Xenopus tropicalis: one gene and its partners. The protein of the gene in region 3 purifies or fractionates together with the protein of the main gene of each other region. This does not show direct contact. Links are inferred from orthologs where the notes say so. Each region holds a gene or a part of one and is shown on either strand. Other genes may lie near its edges.

Region 1 (6,387 bases), on a different chromosome or scaffold from region 3:
GCTTCCCATAACCTTCCCCCCCACTCCTCTGCCCCTCACCCCATCTCTTGTGTCTCTATACGTTCCTGGCCGATTCCTTCGCTCCTCTCAGAGCAGCTGCTTGGTTGTAACCCCATTACTACTGCCATTTTAACGCTTTGTGCCTTGCTACCCCTTACATTGGGAATGGCACCCTGAATTCTCCCGGTGAGAATCCCCCCTCAGAACGAAACTCACAGACCCCCTCTTGGGGCACTTGCACAGCCCCTAATCTGGGAACTGGAACTTATATAGCTGTTTACCCACCGTAACCTGCAGCAGTTCACTTAGATCGTTAGCTCTATGGGGTAGGGATCTCCATCTTCTTGTCTCTTTGATCTCTAATGTAACTGCATTTGTTTTTATTTGTATTTATTATTGTTCATTACTGTACATCTAAGGAAACATGTATCTAAGGAAACATGTTAGGGTTACACACATACATGTGACCAATACGGGTAAGTAGTACATTACAGAGAGTACACTCTAACCCTAATACCCCGGCTGATGTGTTTCTGCCGTAGGCTAAGTGCAATATATGGAGGAACCTACATGCTGAACAAATCCGTGGATGAGATTGTAATGGAGAAAGGCCGAGTGGTTGGCGTTAAATCAGAGGGAGAGGTAAGGTTTTAGGGGCATTTTCAGTAAGTCAGAATTTCAGTGGGGTTGTTAGAAGGGTTGCAGTCAAGGCTGTTAGTGGGTTCAGGTCCCCATGGCTTCTCACTGTCACATCTAGCTCTACTGCCATTGTCTTGCCCTGCTGCATTGCTTTTGCCTCAAAGTATCTGTCTTGCCCTTGTTGCCATCTTGCAGTGCCGTCACCACCTTCCTCTAATGTCTGCATCCTGTTTCCATCTTGTCCTGCTATCTGTGTCATCTGTGTCTGTGCCATATTGGCTCACTTGTCTACATCTTCTCTCCATCTTGCCCAGCTGTCTCCATCTTGTACTGTTGTGTTCCATCTTGCCATACTGTCTCCATCTTGTCCTACTGTCTTTATTTTGCATCTGTCTCCATCTTGCCCTACTGTCCCCATCTTGCCCTACTGTCCCCATCTTGCCCTACTGTCCCCATCTTGCCCTGCTCTCTCAATCTTGCCTTACTCTCTCCATTTTGCCCTGCTCTCTCAATCTTGCCTTACTCTCTCCATCTTGCCCTACTGTCTCCATCTTGCCCTGCTGTCTCCATCTTGCCTTACTCTCTCCATCTTGCCCTACTGTCTCCATCTTGCCCTACTGTCTCCATCTTGCCCTGCTGTCTCCATCTTGCTCTACTGTCCCCATCTTGTCCTACTGTCCCCATCTTGTCCTACTGTCCCCATCTTGTCCTACTGTACCCATCTTGCCCTACTGTCTCCATCTTGCCCTACTGTCCCCATCTTGCCCTACTGTCCCCATCTTGTCCTTCTGTCCCCATCTTGTCCTTCTGTCCCCATCTTGTCCTACTGTCCCCATCTTGTCCTACAGTCCCCATCTTGTCCTACTGTCCCCATCTTGTCCTACTGTCCCCATCTTGCCCTACTGTCTCCATCTTGCCCTACTGTCCCCATCTTGCCCTACTGTCTCCATCTTGCCCTACTGTCTCCATCTTGCCTTACTGTCTCCATCTTGCCTTACTGTCCCCATCTTGCCCTACTGTCTCCATCTTGCCTTACTGTCTCCATCTTGCCCTACTGTCCCCATCTTGCCCTACTGTCCCCATCTTGCCCTACTGTCCCCATCTTGCCCTACTGTCCCCATCTTGCCCTACTGTCTCCATCTTGCCCTACTGTCCCCATCTTGCCCTACTGTCTCCATCTTGCCCTACTGTCTCCATCAGTCCCCGTCTTGCCCTACATTACCCATGCCATACTGTCTGTTCCCAGCACAGCTAAGCCTGACAATTGGAGGAAGCCATCTTTATGAGTTGTTGTGCCTGTAGGTGGCGCGGTGCAAGCAGCTGATCTGTGACCCCAGTTACGTTGCTGATCGGGTGCGCAAGGCGGGACAGGTTATCCGCGTCATCTGCGTCTTGAACCATCCCATTAAGAATACGAATGATGCTAATTCCTGCCAAATTATCATCCCCCAGAACCAGGTCAACAGAAAATCAGGTGAGACAAAGGGTTAAGGAGTAATATGGAGTCACATGACTGGGGGAGACTGGCAAATCAGAATGAAGCTGTCCTGGAGCGCTGGGTCTGGGTGCCAAGGTGCCTGTGGGGAAGGGATGAGAGGGGGAGTTGGGTTGGCACACTGTGGGCTTCCGAGCATGGGGGGCATGGGAAGAGTGAGGGGCTCAGGTGAATGTTTAACCCTCGCCTTGCAGATATTTACGTGTGCATGATCTCCTACGCACACAACGTGGCGGCTCAGGGCAAGTACATTGCAATTGTCAGCACCACGGTGGAGACGGCGGAGCCGGAGAAAGAGATTGAACCGGCGCTGGAACTCTTGGAGCCCATCGATCAGAAGTGAGTGCTTAACCCCTTGTGTGTCCATATAGCCATACGCACACACAGCGGGACAGTTGGCAAGTAGGAAGCATAGAATAACGTGAATAGCGGGGTACACCTTTGTGTTTAATAGACACACCTTTGGGGGTACCATGTGGGGTGTGGGATCTCAGTGCGCGGATTGGTCACATGAAATGGACATTAGAGAGCTTCGGGCAATACACTGATTAACCTGTTCAGGGTCTCGGGGTGGGACTTTAGCTGCTATTGGTGCTGTGCCCAGGGTGAATGAATGGATCGCGCTAACAGAACTGGCCTCTGGGCCTCAGATCCGGAGATTTCATGCAATGTTTCCTATTACAGGTTTGTGGCTATTAGTGATCTGTTTGAATCCATTGAGGATGGGACAGAAAGCCAAGTAAGTGTTTGGGATCTGGGATTGGGCTCAGCTCTTTGTACTGACAGAGCAGGTCCAGTTACTATGCAGAAGGAACGTTAACTATTTCCTCTCCCTCGTAGGTTTTCTGCTCCCGCTCCTATGATGCCACCACACACTTTGAGACCACGTGCAATGACATCAAGGACATCTACAAGAGGATGACGGGCACAGACTTTGACTTTGAGAACATGAAACGCAAACAGAATGATGTTTTTGGGGAGGATGAGCAGTGAGGAGATGAAGGGGGGTCAATCAGTTGGGGGGACGAGACAGACGGGGGTACAGTACAGGGGATTGTTTGGGGGGGTTTGGTACAAGAGAACTCTGCTAGTAGGAGAAATGGGGTGAATGGCAGAAGGCATGTACTTTGGGCTGGGGGGGCGCTGGAAAGGAAGAATTCATTTTTGGGGGGCAGAGGATAAAGAAAACACCAGCTGGTAGGAGTGGGCAAGGGCAATTATAAGGGAAAGAGAAAGCTTCCATATTGTTTTTGTCATCATAACCCCCAGTTTAACTTCTTAAGCCTCTTGCTCCTTGCTATGAGCCCTGATGTTGGCACAACCCTAATGCTGGCACTCTGTAGCACTGGCATCGCAAAAAGATGTGTCTGAGAAATGAAGCTGCTTACTCTCACCCATGCCTGTGCCCCGAGCCCATTCCTCAGCATCTTCTTTGCCCTGTGCCCACAGACTGGCAGAGAAAGCTATATATAATAATGAGTCAGGTAGGCCCCTCATTCCCATATGCCAGCTGTTTGTCCCATGCCCACAGACTGGCAGAGAACACTATATAATAATGAGTCAGGTAGGCCCCTCATTCCTGTATGCCAGCTGTTTGTCCCATGCCCACAGACTGGCAGAGAACACTATATAATAATGAGTCAGGTAGGCCCCTCATTCCTGTATGCCAGCTGTTTGTCCCATGCCCACAGACTGGCAGAGAACACTATATAATAATGAGTCAGGTAGGCCCCTCATTCCTGTATGCCAGCTGTTTGTCCCATGCCCACAGACTGGCAGAGAACACTATATAATAATGAGTCAGGTAGGCCCCTCATTCCTGTATGCCAGCTGTTTGTCCCATGCCCACAGACTGGCAGAGAACACTATATAATAATGAGTCAGGTAGGCCCCTCATTCCTGTATGCCAGCTGTTTGTCCCATGCCCACAGACTGGCAGAGAACACTATATAATAATGAGTCAGGTAGGCCCCTCATTCCTGTATGCCAGCTGTTTGTCCCATTCCCACAGACTGGCAGAGAACACTATATAATAATGAGTCAGGTAGGCCCCTCATTCCTGTATGCCAGCTGTTTGTCCCATGCCCACAGACTGGCAGAGAACACTATATAATAATGAGTCAGGTAGGCCCCTGATTCCTGTATGCCAGCTCTGTGCCCAATGCCCACAGACTGGCAGAGAACACTATCTCATATTAACCCTTTTTGTTGTTAATCGTGACTTAAAAAGTTAAACTGAGATCCCTTTTCCCTGTTAGTAATTTATTAAGTTAATTTATTAGAGAGATAGAAATGGTGAAATGGGAAAGCCGGTTACATGGAACCCAGGAATGGAGGAACAGAGTATCAGACATTGTAGCCCAGTTTGCATTCTCTAGAACTTTCTGTGTTCTGGTTCTTTCCTCTCTGATAATATTCCGCTCTCTGCATTGTCCCCCCCCCCGAGGGTCTCACAGTTTCACCTTCATTCCTGTATTTGGCTGAATCACAACATATTACAAAATGGAAACTCTGTGTCATGTCATTCTCTGTACATCTGTCCCATAACGTGTGAGAGTCCGTGGTACCGGTCCTGATATGTGGCAGAATGAGTGGGTCTGTCCTTTGTATGAACAGCCGCTGCTCAGACAGTGGGGAGGTGTAGGTGTGAGTCCGTGGTACCGGTCCTGTTCAGGGGCAGAATGAGTGGGTCTGTCCTTTGTATGAACAGCCGCTGCTCAGACAGTGGGGAGGTGTAGGTGTGAGTCCGTGGTACCGGTGCTGTTCAGGGGCAGAATGAGTGGGTCTGTCCTTTGTATGAACAGCCGCTGCTCAGACAGTGGGGAGGTGTAGGTGTGAGTCCGTGGTACCGGTGCTGTTCAGGGGCAGAATGAGTGGGTCTGTCCTTTGTATGAACAGCCGCTGCTCAGACAGTGGGGAGGTGTAGGTGTGAGTCCGTGGTACCGGTCCTGTTCAGGGGCAGAATGAGTGGGTCTGTCCTTTGTATGAACAGCCGCTGCTCAGACAGTGGGGAGGTGTAGGTGTGAGTCCGTGGTACCGGTGCTGTTCAGGGGCAGAATGAGTGGGTCTGTCCTTTGTATGAACAGCCGCTGCTCAGACAGTGGGGAGGTGTGGGTGTGAGTCCGTGGTACCGGTGCTGTTCAGGGGCAGAATGAGTGGGTCTGTCCTTTGTATGAACAGCCGCTGCTCAGACAGTGGGGAGGTGTAGGTGTGAGTCCGTGGTACCGGTCCTGTTCAGGGGCAGAATGAGTGGGACTGTCCTTTGTATGAACAGCCGCTGCTCAGACAGTGGGGAGGTGTAGGTGTGAGTCCGTGGTACCGGTCCTGTTCAGGGGCAGAATGAGTGGGTCTGTCCTTTGTATGAACAGCCGCTGCTCAGACAGTGGGGAGGTGTAGGTGTGAGTCCGTGGTACCGGTGCTGTTCAGGGGCAGAATGAGTGGGTCTGTCCTTTGTATGAACAGCCGCTGCTCAGACAGTGGGGAGGTGTAGGTGTGAGTCTGTGGTACCGGTGCTGTTCAGGGGCAGAATGAGTGGGTCTGTCCTTTGTATGAACAGCCGCTGCTCAGACAGTGGGGAGGTGTAGGTGTGAGTCCGTGGTACCGGTGCTGTTCAGGGGCAGGGTGCAAGGTGTGGATGAGGAGCTGGCTCTCTAGGTACCTAAAGCAGGGGTGCACCATTGGATTTTAGGGTAAGACAATAATCACATGATGTGCAGTTTGGGTTGCACTGTGGGAAGGGAGTGCTGTACTGGGCCGTGGGCAGAACCGGCTGGAGTGGGAGAGTAGAACGTGTGGGAGCCGCAGGGGGAGGAGAGCAAACAGCAGTGTTTACCCGGCGCTGAGAGCAGCAGGACGCACATCCAGGTCTCCAAACACTAAGTATTGTCCCAGTACTGTCATGTGATCAGCTTGGGGCAATAAAGGCAAAGAAATGTACAGAGTGACACCTTATGCACACATAGATTTAAGTACCCCCCCATTGTAATACTGCCCTACACCCCCCATATTACTTCTGCCCTACACCCCCCATATTACTTCTGCCCTACACCCCCATCCTACTTCTGCCCTACACCCCCATCCTACTTCTGCCCTACACCCCCCATCCTACTTCTGCCCTACACCCCCCATCCTACTTCTGCCCTATACCCCCCATATTACTTCTGCCCTACACCCCCATCCTACTTCTGCCCTACACCCCCCCATCCTACTTCTGCCCTATACCCCCCATATTACTTCTGCCCTACACCCCCATC
Region 2 (6,387 bases), about 7.0 Mb from region 3:
GAGACCTTAGTCCGTAGTCAGTATTTATTAGGCACAACACTAAGCTCTTTCCCAGAGAGCACAAAGTGCTGCCTTGATCCCTATGCTAGCCATCTATTTCCTTTAGCTTTGCACCAATTCATCCTCCAGTTGCAAGCCAACTAAGTGTCTTGTGGATTCAACAGCAAATAATGCACACTTGATGTTCCGACTGTAAGCAACTAGCATTAGATTGCAAGCTTTTGAGAGCAGGGCACTTTGAAACCCTTGTTTGCTAAATTATTGTAAGATCAATGATGGCTATAAATCTATAGTCTGTATTCACCCACAGCTACCTATTCACCTAATATGCTTACAATGCATAGCAGAACATGTCATAAAACAGACCAACTTACTTTTGCTCGATGGGCTCCAGGAGTTCCAGAACAGGCTTGATCTCTCTCTCTGGGTCATTCGTTTCAACAGTAGTGCTGACTATTGCAATATATTTTCCTTGTGCAGCCACATTGTGAGCATATGAGATCATGCACACATAGATGTCTTGTGCAAGAAAAAAAGCAAATAAATGCACATGCATTATTGAAAATTAACTGGAAAAAAATCATTGCAACAGGTTTGCTTTTGCCTGTATAATAAGGTAACAATACACTCTATATTTACATCTGGCATTTTTTCTGCAAGCTGTACTTGTCAGTGCAGTTTTACAGAGGTGCTTAAAGGAACAGTAACATCAAAAAATTAAAGTGTTTTAAAGTAATTAAAATATAATGTGCTGTTGCTCTGCAAAAATCTGGTGTTTTGCTTCAGAAAAGCTACTATATAAATAAGCTGCTGTGTAGCCATTGAAGCTGGAGAAAAGGCACAGGTTACATAGCAGATAACAGATAAACCCTCATTATATGGGGCTTATCTACTAGTTATCTGCTTAGTAACCTGTGCCTTTTCTCCTTTGAATGGCTGCCCCCATGGCTACACAGCAGCTAACTTATATAAACTATAGTAGTCTTTCTGAGGCAAACACACCAGTTGTAGCAATGCAGGGCAACAGTACATTATATTGTAATTACTTTTATACACTTTCACTTTTTGGTGTTACTGTTCCTTTAAGGAAGTGAACACAGGCTGAAAGCAGCGGAGCAAATGCTCGGTGTGCCCTCAGCTTTAGAAAGCTGGGCTACTGGTACCTGTACTTATCTGTCCAACTATAGTCACATGCAGAGAGCACACAAACAAGTGCAACACTGATTAGCATCTCAATGATTTTGCCTGGATGTGCTTTGGGGGGTGAATTTGTTGCCTAAATATACTTCCCACTAAACCAAAATCCATGCCATAAAAAATAAAAGGTAACAATACATCTGCCAAATTTCATGCAAGGAATGTAACACTAATAGAGTGTACTCTCTGCTAAGTACTGTGCTCAATTCACTTCCTGTTGTGCCCTGCTCTCTCTGTTTCTCTCTGTATTCTGCTTTCAATTTTGTCAAACAGTAAAATCTATTAACTTATCAACTTGCTTCAATGCAAGGCATTTGTACTTCAGTCTCCTACATTACACCTTTATCTATAACCAGTGGCAGAGAAGGCCTACCTGGTTGATACCTCTGACAAGGTATATCTGATAAGATATCTTAAAAAGATGATGACTTTTCCCAAACCAAAGTTGTATACACACAGACTACTGCCAAAGAAGAAACATCTATTTTGGGCATGAAACCATCAGTATCTAAACTTTCTAAATTGGGGACCTTTCCCTGGGAAATGTTAATCCATCATAGTTTAGCCTAAGAAATCGCTCATTTTTCCTCTATCAACTTTGCAACAAATCTACACAATGTAAATATTAACATGGAGTTATAAAAGAAATGAGGCATAATATATACTGGCATTGTAAAAAAAAAAAATTTTTAGTAGGCCCTGTAGTGTCTCTGCTGCTTCCTCTTCCTTCTCTGCCTGCTTAACTCCGGTGTTAGTTCTATAGCTCATTTTAATCATTTTGTGAAACTCACATGTTTTTGTTCTTACAGTCTTCTGATGTGATTACATTATAAATCAGTGCAACACACTTCGCCCCCCATACACATATTATAAGCCCCTTAGTGCCTCTGTCCTTCCCTGGCCTGTAATTCTTCTCTCTGTCCTCATTTCCCCCTGCCTGCTTCTCTCTGGTGCAACATATTTCAAAATTTACCTACTTCTTGTGAAACTCACCAGATTTTCTGTTGACTTGATTCTGTGGAATGATAATCTGACAAGAATTGGCATCGTTCGTGTTCTTTATTGGATGGCTCAGAATACAAATTACACGGATGACCTGTCCTACTTTAGTGACCCGATCTGAAACGTAACTTGGATCACATATCAGCTGCTTGCATCGTGCCACCTGCAAAATCAAAAAAGCCCTTGTGAAACAATTTTTTCAAATTTGATGGTGTTTTTTTTTACCTCCAGTGTAGGACACCCATGGGTGCAAAACCTATATATGGGTTGGAGGGAGGAGACATTTATTGGGGTACCATGGATTCTATATGCAATATTTTTTATAAACATTATGTGGATGATCTTTTGCTTGCATGGCAGGGATCTGAGATTGATTTTTGGGATTTTGTAAATTCTCTGAATAATAACACTTTGAATTTGAGCTTCACCAGCAAGTTTAATAGAACTTACATTTTCTTTTTGGATTTAAAGTTGTCTCTGATTTTAGGGTTGAAACTATATTTAGGAAGGCCTGTGCTGGTAATTTACTCGTAAGGGCTGATTCTGTCATCCCAGCCTTTTGTTTAGAGGGATCCCTTTAGGACAATTCTACAGGATACGGAGAAATTGTAGTACCATGGAGGCCTACATTGAACAGGCCTGTCTCTTGCGAGATAGGTTTATGGATCGTGGCTACAAAATGAGGTCTCTTTCAGCAGCCTTTACTAAGGCATAACAAACTGATAGAATGGAATTGCTTAAAAACATAGATAAAAGTAATAATCAAAATATAAATAATAATAAGATTTGTAGAAACACCGATTTTTGTTACTACATATAGCAATCAGTTTTATAGGATTAGGAGGATCTTCAATAGCCTTATACCTGTTCTTTACAATGATCCCCTTATAGCGACAATTTTGCAAGGGGGATATAAGTTTGTAGCACGTAAAGCTCTAACTTTGGGTAATGTTCTCTCTGGCACACTATGGAAGTCACACCCAACTAGAACTACGTGGTTAGCGACTACAGGGCGTATCCCTGGGGCGCACGTATACATTTCACTTGTGCCTATATAAAACAGTCTACTTCTTTCCAGAGTTCAGTGACAGGCAGATATTTTAACATGCGTATGTATGCAAATTGCAACACACAGTATTTTGTGTATCTTTTGACCTGCTCGCATTGTAATATCCAATACGTTGGCTGCATGATCCGGACTTTAAAAAGCAGGATGTGTGAACACGTTAGACACATAGTAACAGTCCTATATCTTGACACTTTATACAATGTTGTGAGGTCAATGTACCTTTAGACAACGGTGAGCTCTTTATAAATGCTGAACTGATTTGCTTGTTGGTGACTCTTCTGCTTGCCATTCATTTAGGAGACAGACCCGGGGTATTGACGGCCGGGTCTCCACTATACATTTGGTACGATGTTTCGCTTTTGGCATTAGCAGACTCGTTTACTGATTTATATCTAATTTAATTTTGTGCAAATATTTTGTGTTTCTTTAATTCTGAGTCTTGTGAAACCAATGTCAAGCTTACTTTTTACACATCTCCATGAAATGCCTTTAACTCTCAATGAAGAGTACAGATGTGAATCCTTAAAAAACATACAAAACTGTAGGAAGCCAGACCAAAGTCATAATACAACGGTTCAAATTAGGCTGTGTATATCTCACATATTTAAGGTAGAGCTACAATGGTATTATTTGTAATTTTAGAAAAAAATGCACATTTTTCCCCAGATGTGAACTCTCTACTTGGCAATTGAAACACTGTTTTCTTTCTTCTGTAGAAAGATATGGCAGAAGCATTCGGAAAGCTAACAGTAGCGTTCTGACCCGAGCTGATGTCAGATCTTGCCCATATTTGTGCAACAAGCAGGGCGTTTGTCTGCAAGCGTTACTACAGCCCACATATGCCAAGAAATCCAATGCAGCACCCACAGCAGAGGAGGAGAGAATTGCATATTGAGAGGGGAAGCCCTTTACATATTTAAAACATTCACAGTCCTTGGTTTAGTTTAAAGTAAATTATAAGGCAAAAACAGTGTATGCAGTTTATTTGCTACAGCAAATACAAATAGCTAGATACAACTTTACAGTGCTTGCCGTTATCATAACCAATCCATGCAAAAAAATTGCAAAATAGGGCAGAAAGCACTATTTAAAGCTAAATGCATAACCTTATGACTTCATGACTCTCACATGTCCGTTAGATGCCAGATCTAACAGATAAGCTGCATAGTTTCCCATTGTATTCTACAGAGTAGAGTCCTGCATTAGGTCACTTTCGTTCAGCACAATGCTTAGGGGCAGATTCATCAATCAATAGAGCTCAATACATCACACCTATGGGATTTTTTAAAAGCATATTTATCAATAATTGAAAGTTAGAGTTGAACTGAAATTTAGAAAATCCCAAAAGGAAAAAAAAAATAGAACGTGGGTGAGTTTTTATGTAAACTCACATTTTAATAAAGCTGCCCCTTACTGTGTTGGAGCACAGTAAGTAACCTGTGCAGTTTCAGGGTCCAGAATTTAAACAAGCTGACCAATACCTAAGGTCAATAAACAATAAAGGCTTCATATACTTAACAGAACATTTTAGGTAATCTTCTACAATCCCTTTGTTTTCATCAATATAGGATAAAATAATGTACTCCCATTATTACGGTTACCAGAGAATTGCTAACACCTGCACAGAAACATGGCAAAAGTAATAACATAAATGCATAACAACGTACCTCCCCTTCTGATTTCACACCAACAATTTTGCCATTCTCCATCACCAGCTCTTCTATTGGTTTGTTCAACATATATGTCCCACCATAAATGGCACTCAGTCTGGAAAACAGAATGAGGGACTTAATGAAGGGCAATAACAGGTAGGCAAACTACAATCTAATTTTCCAGCCCATTACCAGCTTTTTATTTTTTAAAGGAAAACCATACAGGACAAGATTGACAGTCAAAGATGGTTAGGGTCTCTTCATAAAGGTTTACAGTCTACAGAATGTCAGGTAGAAAAATAATGTGAACTTTGGAACAAAAATGATAGCATAATATAATGGATATGAACAAAGGAAATGTTAGGCCATAGGGTATAGCAGTGTAAAACACAGGATGTGTGCTGAATCTAAAATGCAAAGGGTAATATTTATACAGTCTATTAACAAAAGCTGCTTACAGGCACAATCCGCTCCATGTAAGGGGGAAAAAAATTGGAAAATTCAAGTATTATTAGCAGGTAAAACATCAGTAAATATTCTGTTTTTACAGTCTGTAACTGAAAACAAATTTTTATCTATTTTAAGATGAATCTCGAGATTGATAAGATAATGGGTCTCAATGTCTTACCTTGCAAAACCTTGTGGCAGCTCTCCAAGGCCATAAAGTGGATAAAGGTAAGGGCTTTTGCCATATCGAGCAAGAGATTCACTATACAATTTAATCCGGTTTATTGTCTCAAGACAGGGCTGGTCCAGATATCTAGAGAAAAACAGGAATTGTGGTATTACTCAAGAGGACAAAAGATTTGTTGTCTAGGAAGAATTGTCAGAATTTTGCACAAGACATGTCCTCATATTAAAAAAAAAAACCCTGCCTGACAAACAGCCTGACCAAGAATTTTGAAAATAAATAACAAGGAATCACATTTTGTCAAGAGATTAAACAGGTGCTCAGGCCTTGAATGTCCACTTTTTTCTCTGAGGATCAGATCCTCTAAAGCAGAGGTTTTAAAACATTTTAGGATCAAGACCTCTGTTAAGCAGTAGTGATTTGGCCCCCATTCATTTAGTGAGGTTACAGATGATGTAAAAATATGTTTGTAACAAGGCACATTGTTAAAGTGCCAGAGATATCCACTATATTTACCCCTAACAAGCCTATATATGCTAGCCTCCCCACACCCCCACATTTTAATCACCTAAAGTAAGAGTGTGAGGCAGACCCAAAGTATGGAAATTACTACTATAGAAATATATAGAAATTTGTACTCTATGTGCTGCAAATTGTTGGCTGAGTTTTTATATAAAGTTCAAAATGTACATAGGAAATGCAGACAGATTATATTGTATTAAATAAAATGAATAAAACTAACTTACTCATCAGTCCTATAGAGTGCTAGAGCGTGACCTGTAAAGTCAATTACATCCTGGCCCAAATCAAACTTCTTGTAGACATCTCGCATTGTT
Region 3 (6,387 bases):
AGTGTTTATGTTAATAGGTAGTGATAAATGAAATTTTCTGGCAAGCATGGATTCCCTGCAAATTTATGCATTTCACCATTGGAGGATTTTTTCATGAAATGGACGCAAAATTTTGCCATGTCAAAAACTATTCTCCATGTTTCACAAATTTTTCACCATTTAGTGAAAGATAGGAGATGAGATAAGGTTTGTCATTTTTTATACTCACAAATTATATAAAGCTATACAGGCTTTTCCTGGTGAGTAGAACATGGTATTCAATCATAAATCCACAATTCTAATGAAGAATTGGCCAAAAAATGGTTCACTCTTCCATTAGAGCTTCTGGATAAATTTTCCCCTTTGCATCGACTTATACTTAGCCGTCAAGGTAAATGAACCCCTCTCCCATATAATAAAATCACAGTAGGAACATAAATATAACAGAGTTCTGGTAATCTCTCCTTTTAATTGAATCACCTTTCAAAATGTGGCATATGGCACCTTCATTTATACAAATAAAAATGATTCAATTACTTTGCACATAGTTTATAAATAACATGTCATTACTTTCTGGGGAAGTTGCATTTATATGAAAGAGGGAGGGGAATTAAATAGAACATGCAATATATTTAAGAATAAATCTACTTCTCCAAAGTGATACATACACAATTATTTCTATGTCATGCCCTGGACTCGATTCTACCCCCCACACACCCATGGGGAGCTACTGGGGGCATCTTTAGAGGCACAGATCTTCCCAGCTAAAGGACATTGGTTGCCTCGGACTGGTAGAGAAGCCCAAAACATAATATGACAACATTTTTACCCCACTGCTTTTTTTTTTCTTTCAAACAACTGACCTATAAATAACTACTAGTTATTAGGCCAAAAGCAAACTTTTGGCTTGTTTGAAATTATTAAATATGCGTACATATTTGCATAATTATAATGGAAGGAGCCATAAAGTATGCCATGGATCTGTGATACAAATTATCCTATTAAATGGGTGTTTTTTTTTTTGTAGAGAAGATTATACTAGCAGGTTAATGTGTTTGGGACTGCAGGAAGTGGTCTCTTGTCTCTTTGCAGGCTGTGACGCACGCAGCCATTTCCTGCCTCAGCAAAAGAATAACGTAGGTCAGTGCACGTACAATTAATGTTTTATTTTATACGTATCTATATTTTTAGGCATTGACTTCAAGATCCGAACTATAGAATTAGATGGCAAGAAGATAAAGCTTCAGATTTGGTATGTTGAATTGTAAGATCAAGGAGTTGATTTAGGTGACATAGTAAAATATTGACATTTACTACACACATTCCTGTTGAGCCTAATCCTCTCAGGCCACTAAACATTATTTTTATGGTTGTTTTCAGGGATACAGCAGGACAGGAAAGATTCCGTACAATCACTACAGCATATTACAGAGGGGCAATGGTAAATATGCAACAGTCTGTTTAGTTAATATTACAATATTAATTTTCAATACCATGAAAAGTATATTTGCCTAGTATGTTCCACAGACCACATATGCCCTCCTCTTTATTCACTCCTAACTTATAATATTAAATATAAACCGGTATAAAAAGTAGTATCTTGCTTACAGTATATACTTATCTTGCAGTTTATTTTATGCTATCAGTTGTCTGAGCCAGCAGATTTATTCAGTGCTGTAACTGATAGAGATAACATACCTCTGCATGTGGCAGTTTCTCTTTCAGTGTTGCATTGTAATGGTGGCCCTGCTTCTGTGAGAAAATGAAATTGCAAAGGCTTTCTCAAGAACTAACCAAACAATGAAACAATTGTAATATTAAGCATGCAGTAATCCTTCGCATTAGCCAATGAAGCTGACCTGTCAAACACACATTCAGTTATTACACCAGAAAAATCATTAGGAACAGGATGGAAAAAAACAGTTGAGCTTGGTTGAAAGCAGTGATCCCCAGTGGCTTGGGGGCAACATGTTGCTCACCAACCCTTTGGATGTTGCTCTCAGTGCCCCAAAACCAGGTAGGTAGTTTTGAATTCCTGACTTGATGGCAAGTTTTGGGTGAATAAACAAGATTTACTACCAAATAAAGGTTCCAGTAAATTTTGCCTTGTTTAGAGCGTAAAATACGAACCATTGATATAAGTAACATTCCTGCTTTCTTCCTCAGGGCATTATGCTGGTTTATGATATCACCAATGAAAAATCATTTGACAACATAAAAAATTGGATAAGAAACATTGAAGAAGTAAGTGTAAGCTGGATAAGTGTGTGTGTGGTTGCAGTCTTTTCCACTTTTGTTTTTATCCTTTGCCTGTATTTTTGGGATCTCAAATGCCTGTAGTATAAATTCTGTTGTAAATCAATGGGGCCACAAATCCTTTCACCATCCAATTTTTACTTAGGGGGTCATTTCCTAAGACACGAACGCTCGAAGCGTTCATTCGCCGAATTTTCCGTGTCTTGCGCAACTTTTTCATACGCTTGCGCAAGAAAATCGGAAAGGTTTTCCCGCTGTTTACAATCGTTTGGTACGAAAATTTTATGACTTTTGGATCGCCAATATGACATTTTCGTGACTAATACGTTTTTGTCGTAAGCATTTTCGTGATATTTGCGATCTTCAGAAATTTTCGTGTCCAATCCGAATTTGTCCCATTCGAACTCGCATTTTCGTGAATGTGCCCCTTAGTGTTAGTTCCTAACATCGTTCTCAACAATCTCCCCAGCACGCCTCCTCTGATGTAGAAAGGATGATTCTGGGAAATAAATGTGACATGAATGACAAGAGACAAGTATCAAGAGAAAAAGGAGAAAAGGTAATTGTAAATGTGTTGTAGAAGCTGCTAACTCAGGGTACAATGCTGCTCTTCTTTGTAAATGGGGTGACCGTCACTTTCAAGTTTTTCATTTTTCTCTCTGTCATTATAGCTTGCTATTGATTATGGGATCAAGTTCCTTGAGACCAGTGCAAAGTCCAGTATCAATGTGGAGGAGGTAGGTAAAGGCAAGATTAATAGTGTATTTTGCACATAGGTGCATATTTACTAAAATGAGAATTTTCTACTCGTCTATCTCGCCAAAGTTTGCATAAATACATCTCTTTTTACAGTGACATTGCATATTTAAATCAAAATTATACCATTGTGAATGTAATGTGCCAATATTTTGCTGGTATACATACTTTTTCCCAAACAGTTGTAAACATGCTCCATTGTGTGAGCCAATATCCTCCATATTTTTGGACCTGATTAAAAAATATAAGAGATAATAAAACAGAGCTAGTTGGTTTTATAATTCTACCATTTTAAAATGAATGTACTCCTCCATGATTTGCATGTGGGTCTTGGCTGTCCAGCAGCATTGTCTTTCCAAAACCACTGTATTGAGCTTTGCGTTAGCCGATGCTCCCTGTTAGTAAATGCTGGAGGTGACTAAAAATGCAGCGTAAATTCCTCCCACATCACATCTAATTATGTTTTTAGTGAATTTGCAGTGTGATAGCTTTGGTCTAAACTTATGCTATCCACAAAATGCAAAGTGATATTTTATCTTAACCCCACCCTTGGACAACTTAAACCACTACAATAAAAGGCTTTTTTTGTGAAAAAGTCACCTAGCACAAACAGTAGTAGCATCTGTATCTATCAATGCACCGTGGAGACAGAACCTCCTTTCTCCCTCTGCTAAAATCACCTGTGCAGTGCTCTGGCAAGGTCCTACCGCCACAGCGAGCCTAACTGAAAACCTTCTGTTGGGCTTGTCCCCATCATACCTTTCTAATTATTGCTTATTAGATAATAAAACATGGAAAATTAATCAAATAAAGTCATAAAATATATATATATATGCAAAAAAAATAAATAGACTCCTTTATTGAAATACATTAGTATTTAAACATAATAAAGCAAGGCAAACTTACCACTAGGTTACCTGTCAAGCCAAACAGTTCATTGCTAGAGAACTGGATGAGTACAGAAAACCAAAGCAAACGGAATATTTCATAAAAACCAAAAGCCAATAATGTAAGCCCTCAGCAACTTGATTACCCACTTAACCCCCAAGGGTATTCATCTCTTACCATCACTTTACAAACCAACAGGAACTTTACTGCCTCACTGGTTACCCTCACCTTTTGTCTCAATCACTCTCCCTCTTAGAATGTAAGCTTTTGTGAGCAGGGTCTTCCCCTATTGTGAAAACATATGTATCACATAATGACCCGAAGGAGCCATGCTAGGCAGGTTCAGACTGCTATGTGATGCCTATGTTCTTTGGGTAGGAAGGTAACTTTAGGTTAACTTTTTGTTACCCATGCAGGTGGGCAACAAAACATCCTGCTTGCCTGGGCCCGAAGAGTTTTATTACAAACACTCACTCATACTCTTGCTGTCCCTTTCTGTTTTTAATGTGTATGTACTGAAACATGCAAACCTAACATAATTTGTTTTTATTCAGGCTTTTTTCACACTGGCAAGAGACATCATGACAAAACTCAACAGAAAAATGGTTTGTATGACATTCGCAAAAGCAGTGTTTGTGTAGCAACCATAGGGAGTTATTTATCTTTTGCAATACACCAGGAAAAACTTTTTTCTTATTATAAGGCTAAGGTTAACTTTGATGTATAGGGTACAACGTATGCTGTACCATGTGGATTTATAGTGTTGAAATCAGAGATAAAAGTGCTTTATGAACTGTGGAAAGCTATGAATAAAAATGCTCCTGTAAGTTATAATCTTCCCACTCTTCTCTTTCTAATGTTCCAGAATGAAAGCATCTCTCCGGGTGGAGGAGGTCCTGTAAAAATAACTGAGAAGTCTTCTAAGAAAAGCAGCTTTTTCCGTTGTGTGTTGCTTTGATGAACTTAAGCACAAGAGAGAGACAGACTGTGGCACACCTGATCTATCGGCTCCATGCTTAGCACAGGTGTTGCAAAGGCCTCTTTGGGGAACTCCTGTTTGCTGGAAGTGCTAAATATGAGAGCGTTGTCCACATTGGTTTCTGGAGTGGAAGTTTATTAGAGAAGGGTGCACTTCATATTCCGTCCATCTGAAACTCAACCAGAAAAAGTGAAAAAATACTTTTTTGTATGTCCTTAAAGGATGTTTCCCTTCAATAACTTTTTTTGCTTTTTTTTTTTTTGTTTACACTATACCTCGTTACAGACTAAGCATTGTTAGTGCAAATAAGTATTATGCCTATAAGTTGAGTCATAAGCCATGGGTGTCACTTTTGGGGGTAAACCTTTGGATTATTTTAATTTGGTGACCAGCAGAGGATGTATTTCAATTTGAGAGTATCTGTAAATTTAATGTGATAATCTGCTGAAAGTTAGACAGTGCATAACAGACATTGGTATTAACTTATTGTTGAAAATATGGAGAAAGTAAAATCAGGGTCCACTTAGTAGGGAGTGTAGCTTGTAACAGGTTTTTTATTCTTCTGCACAATAATGTATCAGGAAGATGCATTTTATTAGGTAATATCAGTCTTTTCTTGGAGAAGTACCATATTATAAATTGAGTTACACTGGTATGCGAAACTCTGAACTGGATCCATCTCTATGCTTGGCTTAATATGATACAAGAACAATCTGATTTATAAATATAGCTGCAGTGCAATTCACCCAAAAACTAGAATGAGCAGTTCAATTTATATTGTGTTTACATACTAAGTATTTTGCAGTGTTGTTGAACTGTGCATTTGCTAGGGAAATCTTGCTTTAACACATAGCTTTGTTTTTTTCTGAACTAATGTTAGGAAATTGTGTTTCTCTGCTTTTGTAAGTTGACCTGATGGCCTCATGCCATACATTTGCACCACTGCTGACTAAATCTTCCATTGCCTGTACAATATATTACCCATACCAGGCGGCTACCCTGTTGCTCTCTCTTCAACTCTAGCATATACATATTTTAGGAAATATAGAAAGAAAGGGTTATCATAAAACATGTTGGACTTTAATCCCTTGGTTTTATATTTATATTTTTTAGTGAATTTTATGTAGTAATGAGGCAGTTGTATGGATGTAGCCCTTTAAAGCTGTGAAAATAGTGCTTCTTTTTTAGTTTGCCACTTAACTTCATGTAGAGAAGTTATTCACTACCACCCACAGAGAAGTACATTAAAGTATATTCATTAATTGGAAAGTATAGGGAAGTAATTTACTCAGTTGCTTGAACTACACTTTTCTAATGTTCAGAATTCACCTGCAGATGGTTATAGGGTTAAGTGAACAGTTTGTTACCATTTGGCTCTGAAGGTTTTCCCTTTAAACATATGGTTTAGGTGTTTTCTATATTTGTTTTAATGTATTTTTTATGTTATGTTCTACCACTTGTAGTTGTCTTCAGGGCCAGTCAGCTTTTATTATTTCCACTATAAGCCCAAGACACCTATTAGATATAAT

What was found. Proteins that work in one complex are often made in the same cells at the same time.
Region 1: the proteins of rab8b (region 3) and gdi1 purify together in Homo sapiens (affinity purification with mass spectrometry; 3 studies listed by BioGRID and IntAct, counting the BioPlex papers as one, with this or other methods). This does not show direct contact. The link is inferred for Xenopus tropicalis from reciprocal best matches to the Homo sapiens genes RAB8B and GDI1.
Region 2: the proteins of rab8b (region 3) and gdi2 purify together in Homo sapiens (affinity purification with mass spectrometry; 3 studies listed by BioGRID and IntAct, with this or other methods). This does not show direct contact. The link is inferred for Xenopus tropicalis from reciprocal best matches to the Homo sapiens genes RAB8B and GDI2.

What each region holds. Positions count from the first base shown.
Region 1 is NC_030684.2:155,956-162,342, forward strand, and holds the end of gdi1 (rab GDP dissociation inhibitor alpha), read left to right. Parts: intron 1-542; coding exon 543-642; intron 643-1,941; coding exon 1,942-2,113; intron 2,114-2,328; coding exon 2,329-2,473; intron 2,474-2,818; coding exon 2,819-2,873; intron 2,874-2,974; coding exon 2,975-3,127; 3' UTR 3,128-4,648; downstream 4,649-6,387. UniProt on the Homo sapiens protein: Regulates the GDP/GTP exchange reaction of most Rab proteins by inhibiting the dissociation of GDP from them, and the subsequent binding of GTP to them. Promotes the dissociation of GDP-bound Rab proteins from the membrane and inhibits their activation.
Region 2 is NC_030679.2:84,471,900-84,478,286, reverse strand, and holds part of gdi2 (rab GDP dissociation inhibitor beta), read right to left. Parts: coding exon 6,298-6,387; intron 5,681-6,297; coding exon 5,549-5,680; intron 5,036-5,548; coding exon 4,936-5,035; intron 2,363-4,935; coding exon 2,191-2,362; intron 520-2,190; coding exon 375-519; intron 1-374. UniProt on the Homo sapiens protein: GDP-dissociation inhibitor preventing the GDP to GTP exchange of most Rab proteins. By keeping these small GTPases in their inactive GDP-bound form regulates intracellular membrane trafficking.
Region 3 is NC_030679.2:91,487,212-91,493,598, reverse strand, and holds part of rab8b (ras-related protein Rab-8B), read left to right. Parts: intron 1-1,170; coding exon 1,171-1,231; intron 1,232-1,359; coding exon 1,360-1,420; intron 1,421-2,145; coding exon 2,146-2,223; intron 2,224-2,704; coding exon 2,705-2,794; intron 2,795-2,906; coding exon 2,907-2,972; intron 2,973-4,433; coding exon 4,434-4,484; intron 4,485-4,744; coding exon 4,745-4,837; 3' UTR 4,838-6,387. UniProt on the Homo sapiens protein: The small GTPases Rab are key regulators of intracellular membrane trafficking, from the formation of transport vesicles to their fusion with membranes.